2 linked regions of the Lytechinus pictus genome follow. The protein of the gene in region 1 interacts with the protein of each later gene in a pairwise test. Links are inferred from orthologs where the notes say so. Each region holds a gene or a part of one and is shown in the gene's direction. Other genes may lie near its edges.

Region 1 (10,249 bases):
GCCAATACTTGCTAAGGGGTGCATTTTCAAAACATGGAAAATACTTGTTAAGGGTGCTTTTCGAAACCCCTTGGTCACGTATGGTATCCACTCTTCAATGGAAGTGGCCCCCCCAATCAGACCAAATGGTTTATACTGCCATACTTTGGCAAAAGGAAGGAAGTTACAAAAGTATTGTTTGTTGTAAATGAACAATGTGTGTTCATCATTTACATAGGCGTCAATGCAAATTAACATATTTTCTTCAATATCTTTCCATAGAACAATTATTTATTCCCAAATTTTGCCTGAACGTGCAACATACAAAAGGGTGTTTCAGAAACTAAAATAACTCAACTGATGTCTCTTGCTTCCTTTTGCCAAAGATGGGCAGTATAGTAAATGGACTGATTGTAGACAGACTAAGATAAGACCATGTGGGATGGGAAAGTAGATGTAGCGGGTGTAGACCGACTGGCAATTTACCCATTTTCCCAGTTAATTTGTACTAGAAACCAGGCTCTTGGTATTGAATTTGGTATTGACTTTAATTTTTAATTCAATTTCAGAGTAAATTATAATGACTTATGTTGACTAAATTTCTAGTCTACTTACAATAACAATCATGTTCTCAAAGACTTTTAAGCCAGAGTAAAACAAAAGCAAAAACATGCACAAGACTTTTCTCCTATGAATTTTTTTAATGGGATTTCGAGCAACATAATTTGAATGGTGTAGCATCTGGTAAATCACATCACGTAATCGATTAGAGATATCATGAAACATGGTTCAACAGATAGATCACAAATTATTCACAAGAATGTTTAATAGCCATGAATGGTAATCAACAACTCGAATGAGTTCAGTAGAATTCTACAAAATAGTTACATGTTGTGATTTGTCCATCACTTTTCATGGAAATTAAATATTGATGCTTGTAAACTCTGCTTAGAGACCTAGGGAGTTTTTTCCATGAAACAAATAGTCATATTCACCAACAAATTTGCTTTGAACCAATCAAATGCAAGGATTTTGCTAGCTTATAACAATAGTGGGTGAAAATCACTGTTCCATGGAATCTCCCAAGTTGACCCACATTTCACCCTCGGCTTGACACTGGCAAAGAATCTTAAAACTTTTGATATTTAAGGAGTGCTTTACAAAGATTTAAGTCTGACTGAAAAATGCAGTCCCAGTTATGTGTTGTATACTGGTATATCGCATCACCGCATTGATCAGTTCACATTTAAGTAGGAATATTAGTCAAACATAAATCTATGTGAAACACCCCCAGAAGGTAAACACACTTTGTTACACATGAACTGGAATCCCAATATATGTATTTTGTATCAAGCTTCAAGTAATGTATGATAGCAAGATTTGAATTTCACCAGCCCTACTATCACGATCAGTTATTACAATGTCCACCATGATCAATAAATATCAAACAATGATCACATTCAATATTTTCTGCAGCTTTGGCCGAGATAAACACATCATGGGGTAGATCCAGACGGCTGAGACACAATAGATTTTGAGGGGCTGACTATTCTTTACAAAAAATACTACTCCTGTAATGGTGTTGTGTCCTACCCCGCTTGGCCTGCCACTGGACAATGATGAATTGGAAGAGAGACTCAGAAGGAGTTTTTTTAGGATTGACCACTGAATGTGACCCTTCCCCTTTGACCCTGGAGAGTTAGATTGAAGCCAACACCCCTTATGATTGGTCAACAATCCAAATTTGGAATTAAACATATCAATTGATGAGAAGATAAAAATACGGAGCAAACTCCTGTCCAAAGTTCTGAATGGTCGTATTAAAACTTAATTGATGATTTTTAATATTTTATTCCTCTTCACATGTATTAAAGCAAATTCATTTTAGAACATAAAAATAATTGAACCATTCACTACGCTTAAAAAAAAAATCCATCCCAATTTTTATTTTTTTAAATAGACATGAAATGAAATACTCTGAAAATTTGCTTTGCCCAATTAATCATGAGCCCGGCAGCTGCTGTGCAGCCATATCGATGAGGCTCTATCCCTTTAATCATTAAACGGCAAACAGGGTAGCAGCACATACTTAAACATCTTTTGGTCTGACGCGACCGGGATTTAAATTCCCGACCTCCTGGTTGTGAGACAGACGCTCTACCAACTGAGCCAACACACTGGTTTCCCGCATATTCGGCCATCACTGTATATTAACTGCTTGCCATTAATTCTGATGTTGACATTAGTATTCTAATAGTTATTTTCCTGAAAGAATCATTTGATTTTTAAATCTCTAAAAAATTTGCACAATATGGTTTCATCTAGAAATGGGTCAGAGCCTTTTTTTATAATGTCTTTGTTCTACGCCATGTTGCTTTACTTCAATTTTATGTCTGAAACATTAATATTCCCCATTCTTTAAAATATTTCCTGAAGCAATAGCCAATATTGGCTATTCATTGAAGTTTCAATGTGCAGATAATTCCAATATCATTTTCATGACCATGCAGCTTAAGCCATGACAGCTCAGGTCGTAACTCCACAATGATTCTTCCAAATAGAGTCTATTGTCCATGACGACACCGTTTCAAAGGTCACCTCTTGCCTTTATTGAACTTCTGTTTCTTGTTACCAGGGTGTGGTTTGGACGATGGTATGCACATAGCGCCACCTGCAGCGTCTCCTTCCTTGAGTCCACGAAAACGAGCCATCTCCTCGTTCTTACGCTTCAGGTTTTCCTTCCTGAAGAGACTGGTACCACGTCCTGGAGAGGTGATCTCAACGTTGATGGGTCTCCCGTGAAGTTTACTCAAATGCATTGCTAACGCACTCTGAAAAGCAGACAAAAAAATTTATGTAGCATACCAATGTGACAATATTTTTTTCAGATCATATCAAGGTTAATTCATCTTTGGATAGTTTTGTATCTCCCAGAATAAACAACCTGAAACCAATGAAAATTGGGAAATGCAAACAGAGATTTAACGTAATATATTCTCGCCAGACCACTTCAAAAGAATAAATGGAATATTAAAAGAACGTTGATACTGTGTTTCATAAACTCTGATACTGGTAACAACAGAAAATAAAGTGTTCACAGAATTTGAACAAAACTTAAACAGAATTATACAAAAATAAACAAATGATATCTGCCGAACATTTTTTCAGGAAAACATATAATTACAGAGTAATGAGCAAAGGAAGATCACAAAAATATTGAAAAATGCTGTTTATATACAGTGTGGTCTCAAATGTTGTTTCCTGTGTTAGCTACACCATGAAACGCATGTGGTAATGAATTCATTTCAAGCAAGCTAGAATTGTTAAAAATGTTGTTGTAAATAAGCATTCTGGCATACGATAAACACTTAAGGATTGTTTCCAACCATTTTCCATCAATAATTCTAAACCAGAACTCGAACTGAGCTTTAAATGAATTGAATGACATAAAACATGTCGTGAAATAATGTACCCCACAGTAGAACTGATATTCATTGTTATCAAGGGAATAGATATTCAACTCACCATGTATGATTTGTTGTTTTTAAATTCAATGTAGCCAAATCCTCTAGATTTACCAGTGTCTTTGTGTGTTGCTAACCTCACAGACTTCAATTCACCTGCCGTGTGAAAATGACAAATATGAAACATTATTTAAGCCAGCCATGTAATCCAAATTCTATATTGCTATGATTTTGAATATCCTCCTTTACTAAAAATTCAATTATTACATCATTCAGACATTACTTCAATGGGACACACTACAAGAACTCAAAAAAATATCTAACTAACTACCCCCCCCCCCCCCTCCAAACCCTTCAATTGAGCTTTTCAGGCAATGTCCAATCTTTTTCCTTTTAAGTGCACATGCTGGTATTACTAACACATTGCATTATCATTTATTTGATGCAAGATAAAACAGCATTAGAGATAACATGTCTTTTTTGCGGCCGTGCCGGGAATCATACTCCGGACTGCAATGGTGTAGTCAGGCACCTTAGACGACTCCGCTACAACGATGCTTTCTTACCAGCTTTAGAGAAGTGTTTGGTTATATCCTCTGTTGTAGCACTGTATGGAATCTGACCAACAAAGAGCACATAAAACTTCTTGGTTGAGGTTTTTCCTGAGGTCTTTCCTGACTTCTTCCCCTGGGTTTCCAGGGCATCCACACTCTCTGTTTTTACTGGAGGCTTCACAGCTGCTGAACTTGATCCTAAGGGTGAAATACATTATTTCAAATTAATTAATTACACTATAAACTGACAAATATTGGATAAAATGTTATAAAAACCTGATGGCATGGTAAAATCATAATTCGGTATTTCCTATTAATGCAAACAAAACATTAAGCAGACAAATCATATAAAATTTTCATAAGTTCACCAGTTTTAGGGCTCAAAATACTGGTACCTGCCAAAAGAAAAATATAACTGGCTTCACTTTCAAATTTTTTTAAAGACCAGTCTCTGCTCAAGTTTCCATTTTACTTACGTATACATTTCTTCATCAGTATGGGAAGGGGTGGGGGGGGGGTATTAAAATAAGGGTATTGAATTAATATGAATCATCAAATTATGACTTGCCTGTGGAATCACCTTGTTTATCTTGTTCATTCTGCTGTGGCTGATGCTCACTCCACCATCTTCAATTTAAAAAAAGTATTTTTATTTAGGAAACTTTACAAAATCAATTCAGTTAAATCACACAATGAACTGTAATCTGTATAGATGTATTAAAAAAGGGTAGGCCTAATAGTTAACTGACTTGAATTTTACAAAAAATATCTACCAAAACAAAAGTGTTGACTAGCTTCAGGAGTCGGAATGGCCAATGCTAATGCAGTTTCGCACCGGCTGACTTCACAAGGATTTCCCAATCAGATTGTTCGCACATGTCATAGCAAGTCTCTCAATCACATTTCAAGGTCAATAAACCCACCACTTTTCTGATTATCGTGATCGGGAACAGCTGTATTTCGGCTTCGATCTCGACGTCAAATTCTCAGTCAAGACATCGCTTCGCTTGGAGTGGGATTCCCCTATTATATTTATATGGTCTGAAGTTAGTGACCAAAATTATGCCATTATGCTGTGAACAAACAGGTGAGCGGCCGCAGGCTGATCTTCTGGACGCTAATTTCATTCCATAAAAAAACTACCGTGAAACCAATTCAAGCAAAGTGATGTCTGAATGAGAATTTGACAATGACCTCGTCGAGATCTAACCGAAATACAGACGTTCCCGATCGCGATATTCTTAAAAGCGCTAGGTACATTAGGTGTGATTGAGAGACTTGCTAATTTGCAAATTATTAGATCTGACTTTTAATGTTAACTTAATATGGTGGGGAAATTCTCTCAAAGTCGGCTGGTGCAAAACTGTCTACGACTACGGCCAGGATTATTACCTTTATTACTGGATCTACTGGAAAAATGCAATTACTTATGCAGTCGTGTTTCCAGGTCTTGATACAACCTGTAATACCATATGACTCAAGTTTATTCATGAGCCGCTGGTGAGGCACGGAGTCAAAAGCTTATATAGTGCGACATGACATTTCATTATTTCTTGAAGTTGAAAACTTGAGGAAGAATGGAAAAACGTTACACTAACATTACAACAACTAAAATATTCCCATTTTTAAACATATTAATAATGCTTTTTGAATATACGTAAACTATGCAATGCAGGAAACACCATCAACATTGCCATTGCATTGGCATTGCTTGCATTATGTTAAATTAAATTACAATTTTTACATGTCCTTACTTACACAAAATTCAATATGTGGTGCCTGGATTATTTTTTGGAAAAATCATGATCGGTGATGATGCTGTGTCAAAATGCCTTGACTTGATGATGACTGAGGCTTGGAAAAATACTTAAAATATGTTGTTACTTACTGCATTCTACGCTCCTTTCTGGACTTCACAGTTTCGGATTTAGCACTGTTTTCTGCCATATTTGTGCGTTTAGTTTGTCCGGCTTTCGTAGTTAGACATCTCTCACGACTCGTGCGCGGATTGCAACTTTGAAGTTGAGTTGGGAGTGTAGTCACAGTTTCACTTTCAGTTTCAGTCACTTTGGTACTGACTTAGTGTTACAGTTTTTTTTACGAGTTGCGATCAAAGAAGTAACCATGTCTGAAGGAGGACAGCAAGTGGACCTAATGCAGCTTCCGATTCCACAGCTAAATGGTCTTAAAGAACAGTTAGATCAGGTAAACTTTCAATTTTTTTTTACTGACTTGAACAAGCACTTACTCGCAAAAAGGCCAATGCGATAACTGACGCATGCAATTCTAATACACACATATTCAATAGGGATATTCACAATTTTGTGATAGATTAATTGGAATTATACAGGAGTTAAATCACCGTTGATGACACATTGATTGTGCGTGGTTTGCTATGAATATGACTGAGTGGTGAAAGCATTTGTTGGGGGGGGGGAGAATATTTGAACAGCTTAAAACTAAATGAACTAATGTCTGATAAACATGAATTTATTGGTCAAATCATGCTTTCGGTAACTATTCATAGCTCGCCGGGGCCCTGTGTCCTGTGGCTGTGACACTGTGTGTGTGCTGGGCTCTTCCCGGTGGCGGTGCCTCAATGCCCTTGATCCTATTAATTTACGCATTGCTATTGTGAAATCCTTTCCTTATTTGTGCTTACCATACATACCCTTTGACCAAAACTTGTGGGCATATTTATTTTGCCACCACAATGGAATTGGGTGCCCTCATCGCAGAGATTAAAGTCTAATTGACTGTCTTAAAGATCATCGTCGAAAAGGGGGGATCCACACTGAATTAAATCATTTGATTTTACCAGTTTGAAGTAATCTTGTAACAGGTATATACAGTGCGTCTGAAATTTTTGAAATGGCTGCCACATAAAAATATATCACTTTGGGGGAAAAGTTTTATAGAGCTCTAGATGGAAAGCAAATAATGTCAACTTTCAAATGACACCAAAAAGTAGCAAATCTATTCATGCTTGAGTGACCAATGCCCACTTAAATAAAGGGCAAGAAAATTAGGCTTGGCTGGAATTAGCCTTCCAATTTCTTCTTCTTCCGTTTATTACAGTCCTCTTTACAGAGTATAGTCGTACTTGACTGAGGCCAGTTATTGGTCACCCAAGGGTTCATTACATGTCACCGCGCACAGAAAAATCAAGCCATAGAAGTCGTGTGTTGTGGACCCAAGAAGTGAGATCCCAGCACGCGCGACCCACTAGTTAGAAATCCACTGCCAAACGCGGTTCGTGGTGCGAGGTTAGTATACTAATACTAACCTCGCAATACGTGTGAGTGGTTATTGGTAGGCGATTCCTTTGGAACTCGCAAAGTTGAGGGTGTTGTGGTAAATTAATGATCAATCATGATCAGTTTTGGTTGTTTGAGTAAATTTCATGAATTATTAAATTGAAATTAATGCATGAGTGAACATGAATTGCATTTTTAGTGCTCCATTTTAACCGTCATGTTGACATCAGCAGTGTGTAATTTTTTGAGATGCTCTGTAGAGCAAGGCCACATTTTATAGAAGATGTTTCAGAGGAGAAAGGGCCAATGAGAGGGTCATCATAGCCAGTCAACAGGGTATCAACGTGATCCCTGACCATGACAGTTGATGGCCCTGGATTGGTTTTTAAAAGCACTGTTGTCATTCCAGGGGGGGAAAGGTGTCTTACAAGACTTAAGCTTGACTTGCTTAGTGTCGAGGAACAATTGATATTTTACACTCAATCTCCTTGATTAATGTGCAGTAGTGCAATTCCTCTGAGCAGATTTGTCTAACAATGTGTTTTATACAGCATTCAACTATGAATTTGAGTGTGACTTCTAGTCACACTCAAATATTTGTGAAACACCCACTGGGCCTCATTTCATAAAAAAGTGGCTTATGATAGCAACTCGTGCTGGAATATCACCTTTCATTGGAAGAGTCAATCAAAAAGCAAAACTTTCAATGTTGTCATGGTAGTTGACATTCCAGCAAGACTTTTTATCATAGCAACTTTTATGAAATGGTGCACTCACTGCACTGCAATTGGTAAGATTCAATTCATGACTTGGCACCCTTAAAGAGAAAAAGAGAAATTTATATTTGTCTCTCTTTCTATTGCAGGAGGTGGAGATGATGCAGGGTTCCTTGCAGCAGCTCAAGATGGCCCAGTCTCGGTTTATGGAATCATCAGAAAGCATAGGCAAATTAAATTCTGATAATGAAGGTGAGCTGAAAATAGAAATAATAATAATAATAGTACAGTTCTTAATAGACGCATAACACCTACAGTTCTCTGCGTGTGAGGAAAGCAGGAAATATGGTTAGAATTGTAGATTTAAAATCAAATATCAAATAATAATAATTAATAATAATAATAATCCGCTTTTATATGGCGCTTAATCGGAACGACGTGTCTACCCCGGTCATCGGATTCAATCAGTCATTCCTGCACACAATGTGTGCACATCCTCCACTTTCTATATTATAAACATCAAAGAATATTAAAACATAGATTGAACCTAACTTAGTTAAACATTCTGAAAGAGTTGGGTCTTTAATTGTACTTTGAATTGCTCAAGCTGGGTAATATTTTGTAAAGCCATCGGTAGAGAATTCCATTGTGCTGAAATCTGTCAAAGATCATGTGGGGTTATTTATTTATGCCTCCGCCCATTTTGGGCTGTGCTGGAGGTGTTTTGTTTTCGGGTTGTCCGTCTATCCAAATTTTACTTTCGCGATAACCAAAAGAAAACCATTGGATGGATCAACCTGAAACTTGGCTCATGGATGTGTAGGAGCCTGGTGATCCAGAAGTGTACGCAGGGGGTGGTTACAAGGGTTCAACCCCCCTTGATTTTTTTTGATACCCGAAACCCCCCTCCTAAGAATTCAACCTCCCCCCTAAAATTTTATTATTTTTTTTGCTTGTCCAATTTTTTTGAGGTACGAAAGGACCTGAAATTGGTGGTGAAGACCCCCTTTTTTTTTGGGGGGGTGTCAACATTTCATTCAGCTTGAACCCCCCCCCCCCTTAAAAAATCCTGTGTATGCTACTGTGGTGATCTGATTAGATTTGGGGGTATAAAGGTAAAAAAAGATAGAAATGAAAAATATTTCTTGAATCTCACATCCTAAATCTTCATTAGAAGAAATCATCATATTGCCTATTCAGAGTGTAATGATTACTCTACCTGCTCTGGAAATGTAGCCAGTTTTCTCTTTCTCATTACATGTATATTCTATGTGATTGCTAGCATTCATTATGTGTATGAAAATAAACTGAATAGGTTAATGTACACATCTATGGACTAAACAAGTAGATGTGTATATAACTGGATAAATTCTAAATTTTGATTGATATCTTCTATTCTACAGGAAAAGAGATGCTGGTTCCACTAACATCATCTGTATCCTTTATCTTATCAATCTTTTTTTTGTGTGTGAGTAATTTTTTAGTCTAGGTATAGGACTATTTAGTGAAGAGTTAAATCATACTTTTGAATAATGCATGCTCAATTTGATTTGAGAATCAAAGTTATGTACAATGTGCTCTTTGGGGGCAGGGCTATCAGTCAGGAATATATTCACTATATTTTGCAAGGTATACAAATCTTTTGAATAAAGAGTAGAAGTCAAAACTCTTTTTCAAATTGAAAATAGTTATTTCTAAAAGTGAGAGGGTTGTGATTATTTATAGAGATGTGCTCCTATTCTGCCAACAACAAAAAAAAAAGAGTCCATGCAGATGAAAGACGTTTTTTTTTCTTCCAATAGCTCAACTGTTATTTTCATCATCATACAACCTTCCACCCACCCCTATATGATAATTTGGATATTGTATTATTGTTTTCTCTGTCATTTCACATTCTTTTGGTTTTGTGAAAATTATTCCTTGACTCTAAACTTACACAGCTCTATGTACCAGGCAAATTGCAAGATGTCAATAATGTATTAATAGATATAGGGACTGGCTACTATGTAGAAAAGGTAAGTTTTCGAGAAGCAGATATAGATTTATCACATGTATATTATTACTGAAGAGGTTTTTGTCTCACCTGCATCTATAGCAGAGTGAGACTATAGGCGCCGCTTTTCCGACGGCGGCGGCGGCGTCAACACCAAATCTTAACCTAAGGTTAAGTTTTTTAAATGTCATCATAACTTAGAAAATATATTAACCTAGTTCATGAAACTTGGACATAAGGTTAATCAAGTATTACTGAACATCCTGCCTTAGTTTCACATCACATG
Region 2 (10,232 bases), on another chromosome or scaffold:
ATGGCAAGTTCCCCCAAGTCTGCGCAATCGCGTATCTGCGCGATTCTAATGAAGATACGCAACGAGCACAAACTTTATTAAACGAGCAATACATCATAGAGAGGTATTCATAAAAAAATCTGACTCAAAATGGTGGAAAAATAAAGAATTTAGGGCATTTCATGTGACGGCCTCAAAATGCAGCCTTTCTCATCAAAATCCCCGAATCGTGTGCAAAGTAAATGCGTGCGCAGACATGGCTATCATTTTTTTTTCAATCTGAAAATGACTGCCCAAGGTTTTTTCAAGAAAATCCTATCCCCTAGGGGCCCTATATTTTCTTTCATTTTTGAATGAGAAATTTGGTACACTTAGGGCTTTAGGCCTACTCTTAATAATGTACTAAGGAACATCATTAATTGAAAAATTTTGTGAAATAAGAAGAAATTCATGTTAAATCTTAAGTCAAATTGTTTAGGTGCGCAGACTTGGGGCCCACCATCATGTTTGACATTACACGGCGGAGCTCCCTGGGCCAGGCGGCCCGGGTTACCTGACCCCAGGGCCCAGGACCCAGGTTAAGTCAGACTCAGACAGAATCTCACACTCAGCTCAGCACAGTCAGATCTATTTTTCAGAGACTTACTGTTTGCCAGGGAATGCCATTCTCTCCCTCCGAACTAGGTCTAGGTCCAGCTCAAATATTTAGCCCCGATTCCCGAAATTTGGCAGGTCAAAGAAATCGAGAGAGACGTCGACGGCGACGTAAGACTAACGTTAGTGCATTGACCGTACCGTTAGTGCATATTGACGTGCATTGGGCCGGCCTGGGCCATTTAGATCGACCAAAGACGTACGTACGCGCGCGCGCAGTTCGTCGCGACCGTACCGGCCTTTGAAAATCGCCAAGAGATGATTCTACCAAAAATAAGTCGCCTGATATATATTTTACCTTTACGCGACTAGTCTGCTGTGCAAACCCTTATACTCGTTTTATAAGGGTCTGATCGTGCAGCCTACTTAATAATGCTTTGAGTACTAAAGGCACAGAAACAGCATGTTTTGTATGCTCTATAGTCTTTGCGTGGAGACCCACTTGTTGATCAAAGTTTCAATCATGGTCTGTGCCCATAGGCGGCGGAAGCGGGGGGGGGGACGACCCCCCCCTAATTTTTTGTTGACAACTTTTTTTTTTGCTTGTCAATTTTGTTTCCTGCGTCCCCCCTAAATTTTTTTTGATAACCTTTTTTTTTTCTCTCTCTCTTTTGCTTGTCAATAAATTTTAGTGGTCCCCCTAGAATTTTTTGCTTCCACAGGCACAGGCCTGCTGACTATTCCGCGACTGTCACAAATTGCAAGGTGGTCGCGAATGGGAGGGAAGCAAGGGGCTTAACATTACTGAGGGTGTTTTTTCTCAATTTTGGACGCGGGCCGTGCGTGCACTCATTAAAGGTATCAAAAACACCGTTTTGAAAGACTGGTCAATCGCAGGGTCAAACGTATTTAGGTATGCTTTTTTCCAAAGCTTTTTTTAAGCCTGTATATATTGCCAAACGTGTTTAGGGTATGTTTTTCCCCAAGCTATTTCCCCGGGGTCATATTCTGGTGACAACTTGTTTAGAGGGTTATTTTGCACACAGAAAAAAAACTCGTTTAGGGGGTGTTTAGAATTAATTTGGCCACGCGTGTGTACAGCAATACATTTTGACTGCCCCTTCCCGGGGTCCGACAACTATACCCCAGATGGCTACCATTCGGACGACTCTGGATAACAAAAAGGCCCCCCCCCAATAAAAATATCCCGGTTTAGGACAACTACCCCCAGCAGGACAATTATTGCATGAGCTCTCCACTGCTCCAGGACAAGCAATTAGGCCCCGGGACAACTCCAAGTACCCTTCATGCAGGACCCTCTAGGATAACTAGAAAAATATCCCCATGGGATTTTTAAAAAAATCTGGGAACAAAATAATAATGATTAATAATAATGATATGCATTTGTATAGCGTCATCAGAAGCGGATCTAGAGGGGGGGTTGGGGGGTTGCAACCCCCCCCCCCCAAAAAAAAAAAAAAAAAATCCGGGGACCATTTTTTTTAATCTTATCTTTTTTTTTAACTTGTAATTTTATTTTATTCTATTTCTATGTATTTATTTCATTTATTATTATTATAAGACCTCTATACCAAAAAGAGTGGTGTTTTGGATGCAAGAAAACTATTTCGAAAATCTATTTCGAGGCGCATTGTTATTATTATTACCCCGGTCTTAATTAGCTCGAGCTGCCTTTCAGCGCTCGTGCATTTTTAATCCTGCCGGGTACCCATTCACCTCACCCGTTTCGATTTTCTTGCTGAAGGAAAACACGCCATCATGGCTAGGATTCGAACCTATACCACCCTCTAGCCGGGAAGATAGTCTTCGATGGACAGGTAATTAAATGGACTTAATGCAGTTCGAATAGGGAGCAGATCGATGCAGGAAGGCCTAATATTTTCTCACTCCCACTTTGAGTTCATCACGCTGAGTGTCAGACACAAGTCATGGCATGCAGCTATATAGCTATATGAAGTATTTATATGGTGTCTTCATCACCTTAATGACATAGCGACAAAAATGTGAGAAGTATAGCCTTCTTTATCAAAATGAGCCTGCACTATAAGGTTGGATGGTCGGATCGACTCACTCATGTTCCGTAAAATGCATCCGTACACTGCTACCCAACAAGGCAACGACAATATTATCACCTTCCTTTAAAGGACAAGTCCATCCCAACAAAATGCTGATTTGAATAGAAAGAGAAAAATCAAACAAGCATAACACTGAAAATTTCATCAAAATCGGATGTAAAATAAGAAAGTTATGACATTTTAAAGTTTCGCTTAATTTCACAAAACAGTTATATGCACACCCTGTTTGGTATGCAAATGAGGGAACCGATGACATCACCCACTCACTATTTCTTTTGTATTTTATTTTATGAAATATGAAATATTTTGATTTTCTCGTCACTTTCATGTGAAACAAGTTTAATTCTTCCCTGAACACATGGAATACCATTATTTTAACATTTTGTGGTTCAAGCAAGGGGGTCCTAATTGTCAAATTCGTAAAAATTGAAATATTGTATAATTCAAACAATAAAAAACAAAAGAAATAGTGAGTGAGTGACATCATCGACTCTCTCATTTGGAAGTAACTGGCTCGTTCATATAACTATTTTGTTAAAAATAAGCGAAACTTTAAAATGTCATAACTTTATTATTTTACATCCGATTTTGATGAAGTTTTCAGCATTATTCATGTTTGATTTTTCTCTTTCTATTCAAATCAGCTTTTTGTTGGGGTGGACTTGTCCTTTAACAAGAACTTTACGTGCAAAAAACTCATTTGTCTTTCCTGGCCTGCCTCCTGGAACTCTCTGCCTCAAGATTTCAAAGAATAAACGCAAACAGAAAAAATGTTAATTCTGCAATACTCGTTGCAAACAGGTCAAGCTGAATAACTAATTTAATTATACTCGACTTTTGTGTATATTCGTATTATATGCGTTCATATTATATACATAGTCATGTATATTATTTGTTTTATTATTCTTTTCTTCTTAAAGGGATGGTCCGGGCTGAAAATATTTATATCTTAATAAATATAGTAAAATTCACTGAGCAAAATGCCGAAAATGTCATCAAAATCGGATAACAAATAATAAAGTTTTTGAAGTTTAAAGCTTAGCAATATTTTGTGAAAACAGTCGTCATGAATATTCATTAGGTGGGCTGATGATGTCACATCTCCACTTTCTGTTTTCGTATGTTATTACATAAAATCATAATTTTTTTTTCATTATTTCATACTTGCATGTGTGAATAATATGTCTCCCTTATAATGAAATAAGTTGCAGCAATAAATATCTAATGCACTATATCAGTTGTCATTCCAATTTTTCTACTTCTTAGAGGAAAAAATTTGAATAAACCTCATTTCATATAATAAAATACAAAAGAACAAGTGGAGATGTGACATCATCAGCCCACCTAATGAATATTCATGACGACTGTTTTCCCCCAAATATTGCTAAACTTTAAAATTCAATAATTTTATTATTTGTTATCCGATTTTGATGAAATTTTTGGCATTTTGCTCAGTGAATTCTACTCTATTTATTAAGCTATAAATACTTTCAGCTCGGACCATCCCTTTAAAATTGCAATTCCTGCCAGCCTTATTTCTTCTTTCTTTCTACTTAGTGTATACTGCACTCCTCTGTCCCTCCTGTCTTCTCCCCCTCACCCCCCCCCCCCTCTCTCTTATAATATTGTAAAACATATAATATTTTCTCACACGATCCATCAGTTACGCTTTTGTCAAGTGCACAAAAATTGTTTGTATTTATTTTTAAACAAAATTTCTATATATTATTACGACCCAATATTTATTTGTTGTAATTTTGTAATGTAACTAAAATAGGGGCTTGCCACTTGTACAAGCTATGCTTTTTTCGGCAAGTCTCTACGTTTTACTTTTAAATACAAATGTCATTTGAGATAACTTTATTTATTGAATTGTGTTCCTTAAATCTATGATTATGTTATATATATATATTTTATGTCCTGTAGTATTTTCGACCTTGTTATGTTATGTTTATCATATTATGTACAATTGGGAAACGGAAATCAATAAATCAAATCAAATCAAACTACTTGATAACAACAGCTCTTCTTAGAAACTGCATGGGAGCTACTGGAGCTGGGGTATATAGTAGTGCACTAGACGCTGGTATAGATGTTCCTCCACAGCAAAAGAGTAGATTTTGACTGAATAGCAGCCCGTCAGGGGCGGATCCAGGATTTTTCAAAAAATGAGGGGGGCATATTTTCGCGAGGAAAAATTTGACAAGCACAAAAAGGAAAGATAAAAATGATTCTAACCAAAAATTAAGGGGATTTCGTCCACGAAAAAAAAATTGTCAAACCTGGATCCGCCAGTGCAGCCAGTACCTCAACCTTGTTCGTAACTGCCCTATTTGACTTCTTCTTCCTGCAGGTGATGTAGGAGATGGGTTTGAGCAGAAGAGGATGAAGGTCAGGGAGACAGTATACTTGAGGATGTGATGGTGGGGATGGTCTTGGCTACAGAATGTATAGAGTCCTATACTCAAATCTATTGTGGGGGAGATCCAATGCTTGATCCAATCAGGAGGAGCTTCTCAAGGTCAACTTGAGAACTAAGAGGAAGGAGCCCAGTGAGAAGAAAAGCAACCCCATCTGCTGTTGTTTTAGGGAGAGGGAGGCCAAGGATTTGCTTGAACAGCTGATGTTGTTCCTGCATGGTCTTTTCTCCATCTCTTTGGTAAGCTATACGGCTGCTCCATACGTATGATGCAACAGACCTTCTTCAGGGAAGCACGGTTGTTATCATAAAATTCAAAGGTGCGACATCACTCTTTTCATTATTATTCCATTTATTACCGTTATTCTTTTTTTTCATTCATCATTATGTTCCAACTTCCTTTCCTACTTTCTTTCTTGTTTTTCTTTCTCAGTATATCTCTTAATTTCTTTTTCCTTTTCCTCTTCTCCTTTCTTCTTCTACTTCTTCTTCTAATTATTCTTCTTTTTCTTCTCTCTTCTTTTTATTCTGTTATCCAGATGGAGATGATAATGATAACCATTATCATCATTTTCATAGCAATAATAATATCATTTTTGTATATGAAATTATTGTTGACCATGTTATTCATGAAATCCATCTTTTTATTTTCATCCTTATATTTCAAACTTGTTATAAAAATTACATCTAAATAAACTTTATCACATTTCATTAGATAGGATGAGATTACTTCCCCCTCCTCCTCCATCCCCCTCTCCCTCTCTCTCTCTCTCTCCACTGGGTCTCAACTTCTGTCTGGAAAGACCTTTCACAAATTTGGATTTTTGTAAATAATATGCTCATTACGCCACTGCACTGCTCATAGTCATACCTACACAGCATCGTAGATATAAAAGTATTATGCACTTGATTAAAAAAAAAAGTGATTATTATTGATTTCATTCAACACATCAATACAATATCTTAATTTTTTTTTAGTAACATATATTATATGTGGCGAAAAAAAAAGGCACGAAATCGTATTTGGACGAGTTTAATTACGGTACCGGTACTATATATACTATATACTTCGTGCGATATATTTGGCAAGCGCAAGGGGTTGACCGGTAAATTTCACTATGGCCAACGAAGCCCTCCAGAAAAAACTTCAAGAGGAGCTAGAGAAGTTCAAGGCATCAGAGAAGGGTGTGTATTATTGTCTCATATTAGGAACGAATTCCCATATTTCTCCGGACACTATTTAATGACAAAACATGCCCCACCACGGGCACGACACGGAGTTAGTTGCAGTAACCTCACGCCACGGTATCGCATGATCGCACAGACTTTCCGCGATCCATAGATGTAGCCGATGTAGGCCTAACACTGGGACTTGATTCCTGTGCAATTCGAATGAAGCAATCACAGAATTGTGATTTTTCCCGTCTGAAATAAGTGCGATGAAATTGCATGGATCGGTATATCAATGGCCACGTGTTTTCCCTGCCGGTAGCCTTTAAGTTAACTGCACTCTCCTTTTTTGTATTATTAGGGACAGGGTCTCTTCTACCTCGGGCGATGTTCGTGCAGGCTCCACTTCACTACCGTTACACTCCGCTCCACCTACCCGAACATCGGGACCGTGAACCATTTTCGGATATCCCGAGTCACAAAGGTGGGATGGCAATCATATTAATAATCGTAAAAATTAAACATAAAAAATATAACGAAAAAGATGATTGACTTAATAGTTAATATCTTACTCTACAGTACACCCGTATTTCACTCCGTTTCCATCCTCCGGTTATCATCAAAATTTGTGATTTTGGGCCACTATCAAATTCCTCACACGTATTATTCACGGCCGATTTCAAAATGCATATCGAGTGGACCTGATCCTAATATGATAGCATACGTGTGAGGAATTTGATACTGGCCCAAAATCACAAATTTTGAGGATAACAGGAGGATGGAAACGGAGTGAAATACGGGTGTAGAGTAAGATATTAAGTCAATCATCTTTTTTGTTATATTTTTTTATTTTAATTTTTACGATTATCATGATTGCCATCCCACCTTTGTGACTCGGTATATCCGAAATGGTTCACGGTCCCGATGTTCGGGTAGGTGGAGCGGAGTGTAGCGGTAGTGAAGTGGAGTGGAGCCTGCACGAACATCGCCCGAGGTAGGTCTCTTCTAGCCTTGAGGACTCCATGATGGTATTTTTTAATATTTTGACAAATACTTCTTCATGGAGCCTTGAACCGCCTGCCATATATGTATAACTATAAGAGACTCAACAAAACAGATGGATTTGCCTGGCCCTAGGTCCAGGAAATGTATCTTTTAAAATTTAAGATAAAAAATCACAAATGTTTGTGATTTTCTTTATTTCACACCTTCATACGCCTTAATTGGTTAATAAAAAGGTTAAAAATTGAAGGTTTCTTACCAGACCGATCTCGTGTAGATCCCTCTATCCGTTTGTCAACAAAGCAAATACAATAGGTCTGACCCGTGAACCGCTTCGTTATGATGTACCTTCGATTAGCAATGTTACAAAATGCCGTTTTGAAGAACAATTTATAGATAAAATTATTATTCAACAAATACTAAAATTTAATACGTGATTATCAATAATAATAATTATTATTTATAATCACGTATTAAATTTTAGTATAATTCTATGGAATTAAAAAAAATTTGGTGTGTACAATACAGTGTAGGTAGATGACACCAAAATACAGAATATGTTCTAATTCGGAGTCCGCAGGTCAAAGGTCACAGTTGGTTCAAAGGTCTAAATTTGTTCATTATATTATATATCCATGGTTTCTGCACGATATTAAGTTCAATTGTAATGAATGAATTTTTGATCACGTTAAGCGGGGGCATCTGTGTCCTTTGGACATGTCAAATTTCCAGTTCTTTCCTGCATTCCTTCATTTTTTCTTTCTTTTTTTCCTTCATCTTTTTTTTATCTTCTTTCTTTCCTTTGTTTTCTCATCTTTCTCCCATATTGTCCTTCATTCTCCTATTCATTCTTTCTTCGATCAGTTTCTTTCCTTCTTTCTTTTCTTTTCCTTTTTTCTTTCCTACTTTCATTCATTCTCTTTTTCTTTCTTTTCTTTTTCCCACTACTTTTTCCCCTACTTTCTTCTGTTCATTCTTCTTTTCTTTTTTTGCATTCCTTCATTCTTCTATTCATTCTTTCTGTTATTTTTTTTAATTTTCCTTTGTCTTTTTTTTTCTTTATTTTCTCTCCTCTTTCTTTCCTTTCTTTTTTCCCCTCATCTTACTCCCATACTTTCCTTCATTCTTCTATTTACTCTTCTTTAGTTTCTTTCCTTCTTTCTTTTATTTTCCTTTTTTTTGTACGTTCATTCTTTCATTTTTTTGTTGTTTTTCTTTCCTCTATCCTTTTTTTTATTATTTCTTCATTTATTTATTTCTCTCCTTCTTTCACATTCATTCAGTTGTCCTTTCCTTCTTTCCTTCCTTTTTCCTTCTTCCTGACTGAGACTCTACAAAAAAATGTTTTTGTTTTAATTTAGAAAACTCACTTTCATGCCTGCATTTAATAAGTATTATGTAAATAAGTGATAATGAATATTTCATGGGTGGCTGAAACTGAATGTCAGCAATGATCTAAATGTAGACTATTATGTTTGACTTTGCTTGAAATTTAAGTAGGTTAAAATCTTGAAACAGACAACCCATGAGCTCCAAAATAGCCATCGTAAAATACATTAAGGGTGGCTATTTTTCGGGGGGGGGGGGGGGGGGGTTCTAAAAATAGCCCTCTTAAAAAGAAAGTAATTTTTTGGTTGGTTATCACTGTTCTGTGAAAAGAAGCAACATATAAAATGTCATAATTTTCATATTAAATATATATTCTTTTGATAAAATTGTCGACGTTACAGTGCAAGTCCAAGAACTTGCACATGTTATGTACATGTATGGCGTACATGTACAGACATTTCAGAGGATGTAATGACCTCAAAAATAAAAAGGACTTTGATTATATTGAATACCCTATGATTGTTGATATCTAAGAGAAGAATGATCGTGTAAAAAATGGTGACACATGGCCTTTACCTTTTAGAGAGACAATGTGCCGTTACGTATGGAATGCAGAAAAAAGACAATTTTTAAAACATTTTTTTCAAGTTCAGAATTTGCTAAAAGTATTTCATTTTACAACTTGTAACTCAGTGTGATAAAGGTCACAACACTCGAGTACTGTATATCATTAGGCAAGTTTCATGTCATAATTCAAAACCCTCTAATTACAGACTTTAATTAATCAAATTAATCACATATTATGTATGGGACATTTAGTCCCCATAGAGGATGTACACAATTTTCTCCATATTCAAATAATTTCAAATATGGAAATAATAAATGATTTTTTTTCTTTTAAAATGTTCTATTAAGTTATATTCACTTTTTACACAAATTTCCCCATTGACATTGACTTGTGTACAATTGTCCCCTACATAACATGTCCCATATGTAACTTCTAATTAATTTTTTTTAGATATTATTGAAACTTGTTGTGGTATAATATATTCTTACTCAATAAATTAGAACTCCCTAGAGATGTAACAATACATGAACTGTATTCTGAGAAATATATTTTTAAAAGTCCTTAAAATGTTACGTAGGGACATTCCATCATGTGACAAGACTGATCTAATTTGCATATTAAATTAAGTAAGTTCTTTCCCCAAAAAGTAATAAGATGTTGAGAGTCCATGTCCCACCTATGATTAAATCTCAGAAGTTTTGATTTTCTTTGAGTTTTTATAATTGTCCCATACATAATGCCCATTTTACCAATTATGCATTTAGGAGCTCCAAATTAGCATAAATTTTCATAACATAAAATTATTTTTGATGAAATTTAGCCGAGGCTTTCTTATTCTACCAAAGATATCTTCTTAAAGGAAAATGAAACTCTTGGAGCAAGTTAGCCTTTGTGAAAGCAGAAAAATAAAAAAATAAGATCAACAAAAGTTTGAGTAAAATAGGACTAGCAATAGAAGAGTTATGAGCATTTGAATGTCGAGATCACTAAAGCTATGGAGATCCTCCCATTGGCAATGTGACCAAGATCTATGATGTCACAGATGAACAACTCTCCCCTTTTGGACACTGAAAAT

Evidence for each region. The genes of interacting proteins can lie anywhere in the genome.
Region 2: the proteins of prefoldin subunit 5-like (region 1) and prefoldin subunit 6-like interact in a two-hybrid assay, tested with the Caenorhabditis elegans proteins (2 studies listed by BioGRID). The link is inferred for Lytechinus pictus from reciprocal best matches to the Caenorhabditis elegans genes pfd-5 and pfd-6.

Annotation. Positions count from the first base shown.
Region 1 is NC_087247.1:32,561,025-32,571,273, reverse strand, and holds the start of prefoldin subunit 5-like, read left to right. Parts: upstream 1-5,769; 5' UTR 5,770-5,885; coding exon of another isoform or gene 5,886-5,944; 5' UTR 5,945-6,121; coding exon 6,122-6,202; exon of another isoform or gene 6,203-6,567; intron 6,568-8,119; coding exon 8,120-8,222; intron 8,223-9,373; coding exon 9,374-9,405; intron 9,406-9,910; coding exon 9,911-9,985; intron 9,986-10,249. Other genes in the region: uncharacterized protein LOC129257427, read right to left, coding at 2,574-2,810, 3,505-3,599, 4,010-4,195, 4,566-4,624, 5,886-5,944. UniProt on the Caenorhabditis elegans protein: Binds specifically to cytosolic chaperonin (c-CPN) and transfers target proteins to it. Binds to nascent polypeptide chain and promotes folding in an environment in which there are many competing pathways for nonnative proteins.
Region 2 is NC_087246.1:9,062,790-9,073,021, forward strand, and holds the start of prefoldin subunit 6-like, read left to right. Parts: upstream 1-6,117; 5' UTR 6,118-6,206; coding exon 6,207-6,273; intron 6,274-10,232. Other genes in the region: nuclear speckle splicing regulatory protein 1-like, read right to left, coding at 626-645. UniProt on the Caenorhabditis elegans protein: Binds specifically to cytosolic chaperonin (c-CPN) and transfers target proteins to it. Binds to nascent polypeptide chain and promotes folding in an environment in which there are many competing pathways for nonnative proteins.